Macaca fascicularis: one gene and its partner. The protein of the gene in region 1 purifies or fractionates together with the protein of each later gene. This does not show direct contact. Links are inferred from orthologs where the notes say so. Each region holds a gene or a part of one and is shown on either strand. Other genes may lie near its edges.

The links.
Region 2: the proteins of OCRL (region 1) and PHETA1 purify together in Homo sapiens (co-immunoprecipitation; 5 studies listed by BioGRID and IntAct, counting the BioPlex papers as one, with this or other methods). This does not show direct contact. The link is inferred for Macaca fascicularis from reciprocal best matches to the Homo sapiens genes OCRL and PHETA1.

The regions. Positions count from the first base shown.
Region 1 is NC_088395.1:135,843,944-135,847,755, reverse strand, and holds part of OCRL (inositol polyphosphate 5-phosphatase OCRL), read right to left. Parts: intron 733-3,812; coding exon 622-732; intron 1-621. UniProt on the Homo sapiens protein: Catalyzes the hydrolysis of the 5-position phosphate of phosphatidylinositol 4,5-bisphosphate (PtdIns(4,5)P2) and phosphatidylinositol-3,4,5-bisphosphate (PtdIns(3,4,5)P3), with the greatest catalytic activity towards PtdIns(4,5)P2.
Region 2 is NC_088385.1:118,251,834-118,256,107, forward strand, and holds the start of PHETA1 (sesquipedalian-1), read right to left. Parts: upstream 2,835-4,274; 5' UTR 2,712-2,834; intron 275-2,711; 5' UTR 239-274; coding exon 1-238. UniProt on the Homo sapiens protein: Plays a role in endocytic trafficking. Required for receptor recycling from endosomes, both to the trans-Golgi network and the plasma membrane.

The DNA of each region.
Region 1 (3,812 bases):
CATGCATCACTAGTAGGGGAAGTAAGTCAGTTGGATTATTCCATAGAGGATATGAGGAGTAAGGTAATTGTTAAGCAGGTGTGCAAATGCCATAGACATTCACCAACTGAACCAACTTCACACCATCCACTTGCATGTATTATTATACTCACACCAGCAGAGAAGGAGTTAGGTGGCTCCTGCTACTTCTCCAGGCTACTCTGATCATTCCTAGGATCCTAAGAGGGTAACCCAACCTTGGTTCAGAGTATTCATCCTGGGACCAAGTCCTGGTTTCTGAGATATAAATTAACTAGCAACTCTGAAATATTAAACAAGAGCAGCTAACAACGGAGGGCTTACTATGTCCCGGGTGCTGTTCTGAGAGCTTCGCATGTATTAACTCATGTAATCCTTACAACTACCCCTTAATCCAGAAAAGGAAACTGCGGCTCTGAGTGGGTAAGACACTTGCCTGAGGTCATGCATCTACTAAACAGCAGTGCTAGGACTGGAATGGAGGCAGTCTGACTCCAGCGACATGGGCTTAACTACTGTGCTATGTTGCCTTTTCTAAGCAGCAGTTTCTTCTGTGCTAACCACAGTGGGCAGCAGACAGGGAGATCATGTATTTTGGCTCACCTCCCTCCTGCTGAGTTCTAAGGAAGGAAGGAAGTCATTTTCCATTCTGTCCATGATGCGTACACTATCTTCAAAGACTTTACGGTACCTTCGTTCATCCACAACCTTCACCTGAAAGAAAATGTATCCTCTTTTCAGTCTTATATGCTTCTAGCTCATCTGCCTTGGAGATTATCTAACAATTTAAAACTGGTCATTACAGCAACCATTTAAAATAAACTGTGGTGCAAACAACATCCTCAAACACTTTCCATATCTTGCTTCATCCACAACTTTCACCTGAAAGAAAACAGATCCTTGCTTTAGTTTTACATGCTCTCAACTTTTATATCTCCAAGAGCCTCTAAAGCAAACATAAATTGAACAAAGCATTATAGAAGCACACGCTTTAAGGTAAAGGTAAGATTAATTGGCTAACGTCCTGTAAAAGTTAAACTCCTATGTTAAGAAGCTTGGCAATAATAAATATTTGGGAAGAACATTTTCTTGCTTCATTGTTATTTGGTAGTGGAAAAAATGTGATTGTGGTAAAAATGATTGCTTGCACTGTACAAAATGACGGTGTCGAAACACAGCAATTACTGTTTCTAACAATCATAACTTGGTGGGGTGGGAGAAAATATGATTAAAAAGCTTTTAACTCTATTAGATTCTATGTACAATACCAAGAAGTGTAATATCACTGCTCAGATTATATAATAGCAAAGATATATTAATAAATGGAGCCTACAGCCATTTTAGAAAATGGCTGAAACAAAATGTCCTAGACTAGAGTAAAACCATGACAACGGATAAACACATCTTGACTGATTAATAAAAAAATTCCCACCTGACACAGCACTTTCAGCTTCCTGATATAGCCGTGTTTTTTTTAAATATTAAAACTTCATACAAACCAATGCCAAAATTAACATAACTAACAGATTTTAACTTGAGATATCGGTTTCTTTTTTAGACTAGGAAACTTCACAAAAATCCGTGTCAAAAAAAATTGACACATGCAGCAAAGGTTCTAAAAAGATGTGGAAACAGATGCTGGCGAGGCTGTGGAGAAATAGGAACGCTTTTACACTGTTGGTGGGAGTGTAAATTAGTTCAGCCATTGTGGAAGACAGTGTGGCGATTCCTCAAGGATCTAGAACCACAAATACCATTTGACCCAGCAATCCCATTACTGGGTGTATACCCAAAAGAATATAAATCATTCTACTATAAAGACACATGCACACGTATGTTTACTGCAGCACTACTTACAATAACAAAAACATAGAACCAACCCAAATGCCCATTCATAATAAGACCTGATAAAGAAAATGTGGCAAATATACATCATGGAATACTATACAGCCATAAAAAGGAATGAGCTCAGGCTGGGCACAGTGGCTCACACCTGTAATCCTAGCACTTTGGGAGGCCGAGGCAGGAGGATCACTAGAGGTCAAGAGTTCAAAACCAGCCTGGCCAAGACAGTGAAACTCTGTCTCTACTAAAAGTACAAAAAAAAATTAGCCAGGCCTGGTGGTGGGTGCCTGTAATCCCAGCTACTGGGAGGCTGAGGCAGGAGAATCCCTTCAGCCCAGGAAGCGGAGGTTGAAGTCAGCCAAGATTGCACCACTACACTGCAGCCTGGGCAACAGAGCAAGACTCCATCTCAAAAAATATAAAAAAAAGTCCTTTGCAGGGACATGGATAAAGCTGGAAGCCATCATCCTTAGCAAACTAACACAGGAACAGAAAACCAAACACTGCATATTCTCACTCATAAGTGGGAGCTGCACAATGAGAACACATGGACACAGGGAGGGGAACAACACACACTGGGCCACTCGGGGTAGTGGGGCGAGGGGAGGGAGAGCATTAAGGTTAAATAGCTAATGCACGTGGGGCTTAAAACCTAGATGATGGGTTGCTAGGTGCAGCAAACCAACATGACACACATATACTTATGGAACAAGCCTATACGTTCTGTACTTGTATCCTATAACTTAAAGTAAAATAAAAATTTTTAAAAATGTTGAAAATAAGAACATCAAAGCTGAGTCAAGTATCTCAGACTGGGGAAGTTTTTCACGTATTTGAACTGTAACTCTTAGAGAACTGAGGATCAAACATCATTTTACCATCACCAGGGTCCATACTATAGCATTAGGTTAAGATGAATTTTATACTTTTACAAAACTTTGCAACTTTTAATTTCCAAAAGTATTTTGCACATGTCTTTTAATTTTCACAACCTGGAAGGCTACCAAAGCAAGTAATATTTTTGTTCTGAGAGTTGAGAACATTAAGATACACAACAATCAACAAACTTGCTCACTGCCACAGTTAATACCAAAGGTGATATCTGGACTAGTGTAAGACTCTTTCCAATATACCAGATATGTGGCAGAATCAACTTGAGTATGTCTTAAAAGCACAGCTGCCTGGGCCTACTAATCACAGTCTCCAGGGGTGGGGACGCATGCATCCACACTTTTTTTAAAGCTCTCTAAGCAATTCTTACATCCACTGAAGTCTGAGAACCAATGCAACAGATCACAGTACCAAGTGCAGGGTTGGAACCCTATCCCAGCTCTATCTCAGCCAGCCCACAGAAAGTCTTCTGAAATTAATTAGCCATGGTGCACTCGGCTCCTTTGTTAACAGTCATTGGTGCCAATGGTGGTGAAAATGTAGTGTGGTTTTTAAAGCCTCTAATCATAACATGCCCAAGAATCCAAAACATGGGGTGATTACTCAATAAAATCAAACTTTTTCTCAGCAGGTTATCATGATCACAGCACTTAATGGCAAATCAAGGATAATGAGGTGGGGAAAAATCCCAAAGAATTCACGACCTGACACATCCATTTTAGTAAAGGAAATTACTGACGAAACTAGGAATTTGAAAAAAAAGTACAATGAGCTAGGTCTTTATGTAATAAGATGGGAGGTTCTCCAAGACACACTGCTGATTTAAAAAAAAAAATCAAGTTGTAGACCAACACATACATATGAGACCGTTTATGATATAGAGACACACACAAATCAGTATTTTGTCTATGGGTGAACAAAAAAGCATATACAAAGGTCTAGAACTGCACTGTTCAGTACAATAGTGACTGGCCACATAGGGAATTTGAATTTAAATTACTTTAAATCAAATAAAAAGTTCAGTTCTCAGTTGCAATAGCCACACTTCAAGTACTCAA
Region 2 (4,274 bases), on another chromosome or scaffold:
CGAAGGCGAACTCCTCCGCAGCCTCCACCAGCTCCACGGTGCAGCCCTCCAGGATGATGACGCCCACAGGCTCGCGGCTGGCCGCATCCTCGAAGTAGAAGAGCATGTTCCCGCGCAGGACGAACCAGCGCCGGTGGTAGGCTGCGTGTCGCCCGCCCTTCTTGTACAGGAAGCCTGCGTTGTCCACTGGGGCGTCGCAGGTGGCGTAGAAGGCCAGGCTGCGCTCGTTCAGCTTCATGGCGGCAATCGCCGGGCCTGGAGGGGAGCCCGGGGCCTGGACCCCATGGAAGGGCTGTTACGCACAAGGCCACTGATGCTAGGTCACCCAGTGCCCCGATGGGACCTTGCGGCCACTCTACATCCCCGTTTCACAGATGAGGAAACTGACACTCACAGGGTGGAAGCAGGCAGCCCATGTGCCCACAACTCCTAAGGAGCAGAGACAGGACTGGAACCTGGGTCTCACCAGCCTCCCCAGACAGCCTCATAACCTCCTGCCCTCCTGTATCCCTGAAATAATGTTGTGAGTTCCTGCCGCATGCCAGACATTTCAGAGGGATGAACTCACTTGATCTCACAATAGACCTTAGGTTACAGGGACTGGCCTGGCTTGGGTTCAACAGATGAGGAAACAGGCACAGAGAGGTTAACTGCTTCCCCGGTGTCACAAAGCAGGTTGGGCAGGGCTGAAATCCTAACCCAGGCCTCATTTCAGACGCTGCTGTTTCCATCATCCCAAGAACAAGACCAGCTGGCCTTCCACAGTCCCTGCCAGGTCCCAGCCCTGACTGTGGTTCGACCTTGGTTTGTCCGTCCATGAAATAGGGATATGGGCGGAACCAACTTCAGAGACTTGTAGAGATTGACTTCATTCATGGAATGTTTATTAAGCATCTACTGTGTGCCAGGCACTGTTCCAGGCCTAGGGATAGAGCAAAAACAAGATGGACAGGGTCCCTGCCCTTGTGGTGTTGAAATGCCACTGGCAAGTGAAAGGGAGCAGACAGTTAACAGATAAGATGTCTGCCAGGTAGTCTCATGTCCTGTGGAAAATAAGACAGGGGCTGGGCGCAGTAGCTCACGCCTGTAATCCTAGGGCTTTGGGAGGCCAAGGCCGATCCTTCTCACCTGAGGTCAGGAGTTCAAGACCAGCTTGGCCAACATGGCAAAACCCCATCTCTACTAAAAATAAAAAAAAAACAGCCAGGTGTAGTGGTGCACACCCATAACAGCCAGGTGTAGTGGTGCACATCCCAGCTATTTGGGAGACTGAGGCAGAAGAATCGCTTGAACCCAAGAGGCGGAGGTTGCAGTGAGCCGAGATCACGCCATTGCACTCCACCCTGGGCAACAGAGCAAGACTCCATCTCAAAAAAAAAAAAAAAAAAAAAAAAAAGCCAGGCCTGGTGGGGAGTGCCTATAATCCCAGATACCTGGGAGGCTGAGGCAGGAAAACTGCTTGAACCCAGGAGGCAGAAGTTGCAGTCAGCCGAGATCGCACTACTGCACTCCTGCCTGGGGACAGAGCCAGACTCTATCTCAAAAAAAAGAAAGAATCTGGGCAAACATGCAAACCCAGGGTTAGGCTGACTTACAGGAAGGAGGGGCAGGGGGGCGTCCCATGCCATTTAGCATAGAGGACTCTAACTCCATGCCGTCAGCCACAGTGACCCCATTCACTTTCCCCCAAGGAGTATACGATGGGGCAATGCTGGCCAGGAAGGACTTATCGGGAGGTGGCATCTGCGTCCCTGGCCTGGCCACCTTCCCTTGGGGTTTTCCACGGCCATTTTAAGAGCCCACCTTATCTCCCACTGTAGAGCCTCAGCCTGCATAGGATGGTAGCTACATTTTTCAAGAGGCAAAGCATATAAAGTCCTGGTACGCAGTAGGCACTCAGTGTTCATTGCCCTGCCTGGGTGGCGTCTTTCTCAGAGCCTGGTGGAATGAGGTCAGGGTGGTGGCTCTCCTAGGAGCAGCTGACCGCAGTGAGGCCCTGTCGGACTACCTGACCTAGGGTGGAAGGGGTTGTCCTTGCCACCTCCTGTCACCCACACAGGCAGTCAGGGAAGGCTTCCTAGAAGAGGGAACATGAATTGTGACTTAGAAACTGAGAAAATGCCCATCAATGATAGAGTGTATAAAGAAAATGTGGTATATATACACCATGGAAAACTATCCAGCCATAAAAAGGAATGAGATCATGTCCTTTGCAGGGAAATAGATGAAGCTGGAAGCCATCATCCTCAGCAAATTAACACAGGAACAGAAAACCAAATACCGCATGTTCTTACTCATAAGTAGGAGTTGAACAATGAGAACACGTGGACACAGGGAGGGGCAGAACACACACGGGGGCCTGTTGGGTGATGGGGGTGAGGGGAGGGAACTTAGAGAACAGGTCAATAGGTGCAGCAGGCCACCATGGCACACGTATACCTATGTGACAAACCTGCATGTTCTGCACATGTATCACGGAACTTAAAAAAAGAAACTGAGGTCAGTCTGTCCTGACCTAGTGGGGGGCCAAGGCCAGAGCCCCCAAAGTCTCCAGGTGTTGAATCCCCACCCTGCCTCTCAGATACAGCTGTCCCTCTCTAAGCCACAGGGATTCACGCATTCCCCACACCACCACCCATCAACTCCCATGTGGATGCTGGCCCCAGTTCTCACAGGACCCTCCCGCCCCACTTGCCCAATTTCGCTCCTACCTCTCAGGCCACCACTCGCCTCCCTGCCCTCTGTTCAGCTCCAGCCTCAGCTTGCTCTTCTCTGGATTCAAATGTCAGCTCTGCAGCATCTGGGCTGGGGAACCCCAGGCAGGCTATTAACCTCTCTGGGCCTCCGTTTCTGCATCTGTAAAATGAGATCGTAACAGTGCCTAAGTCAGGGCTGTTGTGACAATGATACAGTGACTACACGGACTTTGCGGAGCACGGGGCCAGGCACACAACGCCTGCTGAGCACAGCTGCAGTTCACATTCTTCTTGGCTTTTCCCCAAACGTCCCCGTGTCATACTTCTGATCTCAGCAAATGGCCCTTGGTTTCCCTCTCACCCCCACATCTGATCACATATCAAGTCCAGTTGATCCCGCCTCTCCAGCGTCTTCCAAATCAGTTGCCTAATCTGTCCACTCCACCTCCCCATTCTAGGCCCCATCACCATTCACTGGAACGGCTGCTGTAGCCTCCACACAAGTCTCCTTGCCCCCCCGTCCATGTTCCTTAAGGTAAGATCCAAGCCTCCTTCCTAGGCTCTTCTCCGAGCCACACTGAAATCCACTCCCCACAGAGGGATCCTGTGAAAATTAAGTCCAATCACACTCCTCCTCTGCTCTAAACCCTCCCATGGCTCCCTACTTCTCTCAGCATAAAATTAAATCCTTAGGCAGGGTGCGGTGGCTCACACCTGTAATGCTAGCACTTTGGGAGGCTGAGGCCGGAGGATCGCTTGAGTTAGAGACCAGCCTGGACAACACAGCAAGACCCTACCTCCACAAAAAATAGAAAAAAAAATAGCTGGGCATGTTGACACAAGCCTCTAGTCCTAGCTGTCTGGGAGGCTAACATGGAAGGACCCCTTGAACTTGGGAGTGATCATGCCACTGCACTCCAGCCTGGGTGACATAGTGAGATCCTGCCTCAAAAAAAAAAAAAAAAAAAAAACAGTCCAAGCCTCCCATGGCTTCCAAGTTCCCTTTTCCTACCTCTTTCCCCCTTGTTCACTCAGCTCCAGCCATCCTGGCCTCCTTTCTGTTCCTTAAATACACCAGATACATCCCCACCTCCAAGACTTGGTCCCGGCTGTCTGCTTGCAGGTCTTCACAAGGCCAGTTCCCCATCCTTTGGTCTCAGCCTAGCTGTCACCTCCTCAGAGAGGTGGTCCCTGGCCACCCTATGCATAAGAGGCCCTCCAGTCCCTCTCCTGTGCCTCCACCTGAAATTATTAATACCTGGGTCATTTTTGCCTGCTCTAGGAAAGCTGGGGCGTTTGTGGTGTGAATTCCAGTGCCAGGCATGCAGTAGGTGCTCACATAGCTGTTTGATTCATTCTGCAGGTATCTTCTGAAACTTCTCAACGGCCCCATGACAAGGGGTCTCACCCCACATTCACAGATGTGGAAATGGACACAGGGAGGTTTAATAAGTTGGCCAGAGGCATACAACTGTGCCCAGAATCACATGCTCCAGGCAAGCCACCCAAATAAAGGAGCCAATCTTGGGGTCTCTCCACCCCATCAAGGCCAAAGGAATAGCAACTTCCCTCCTGCTC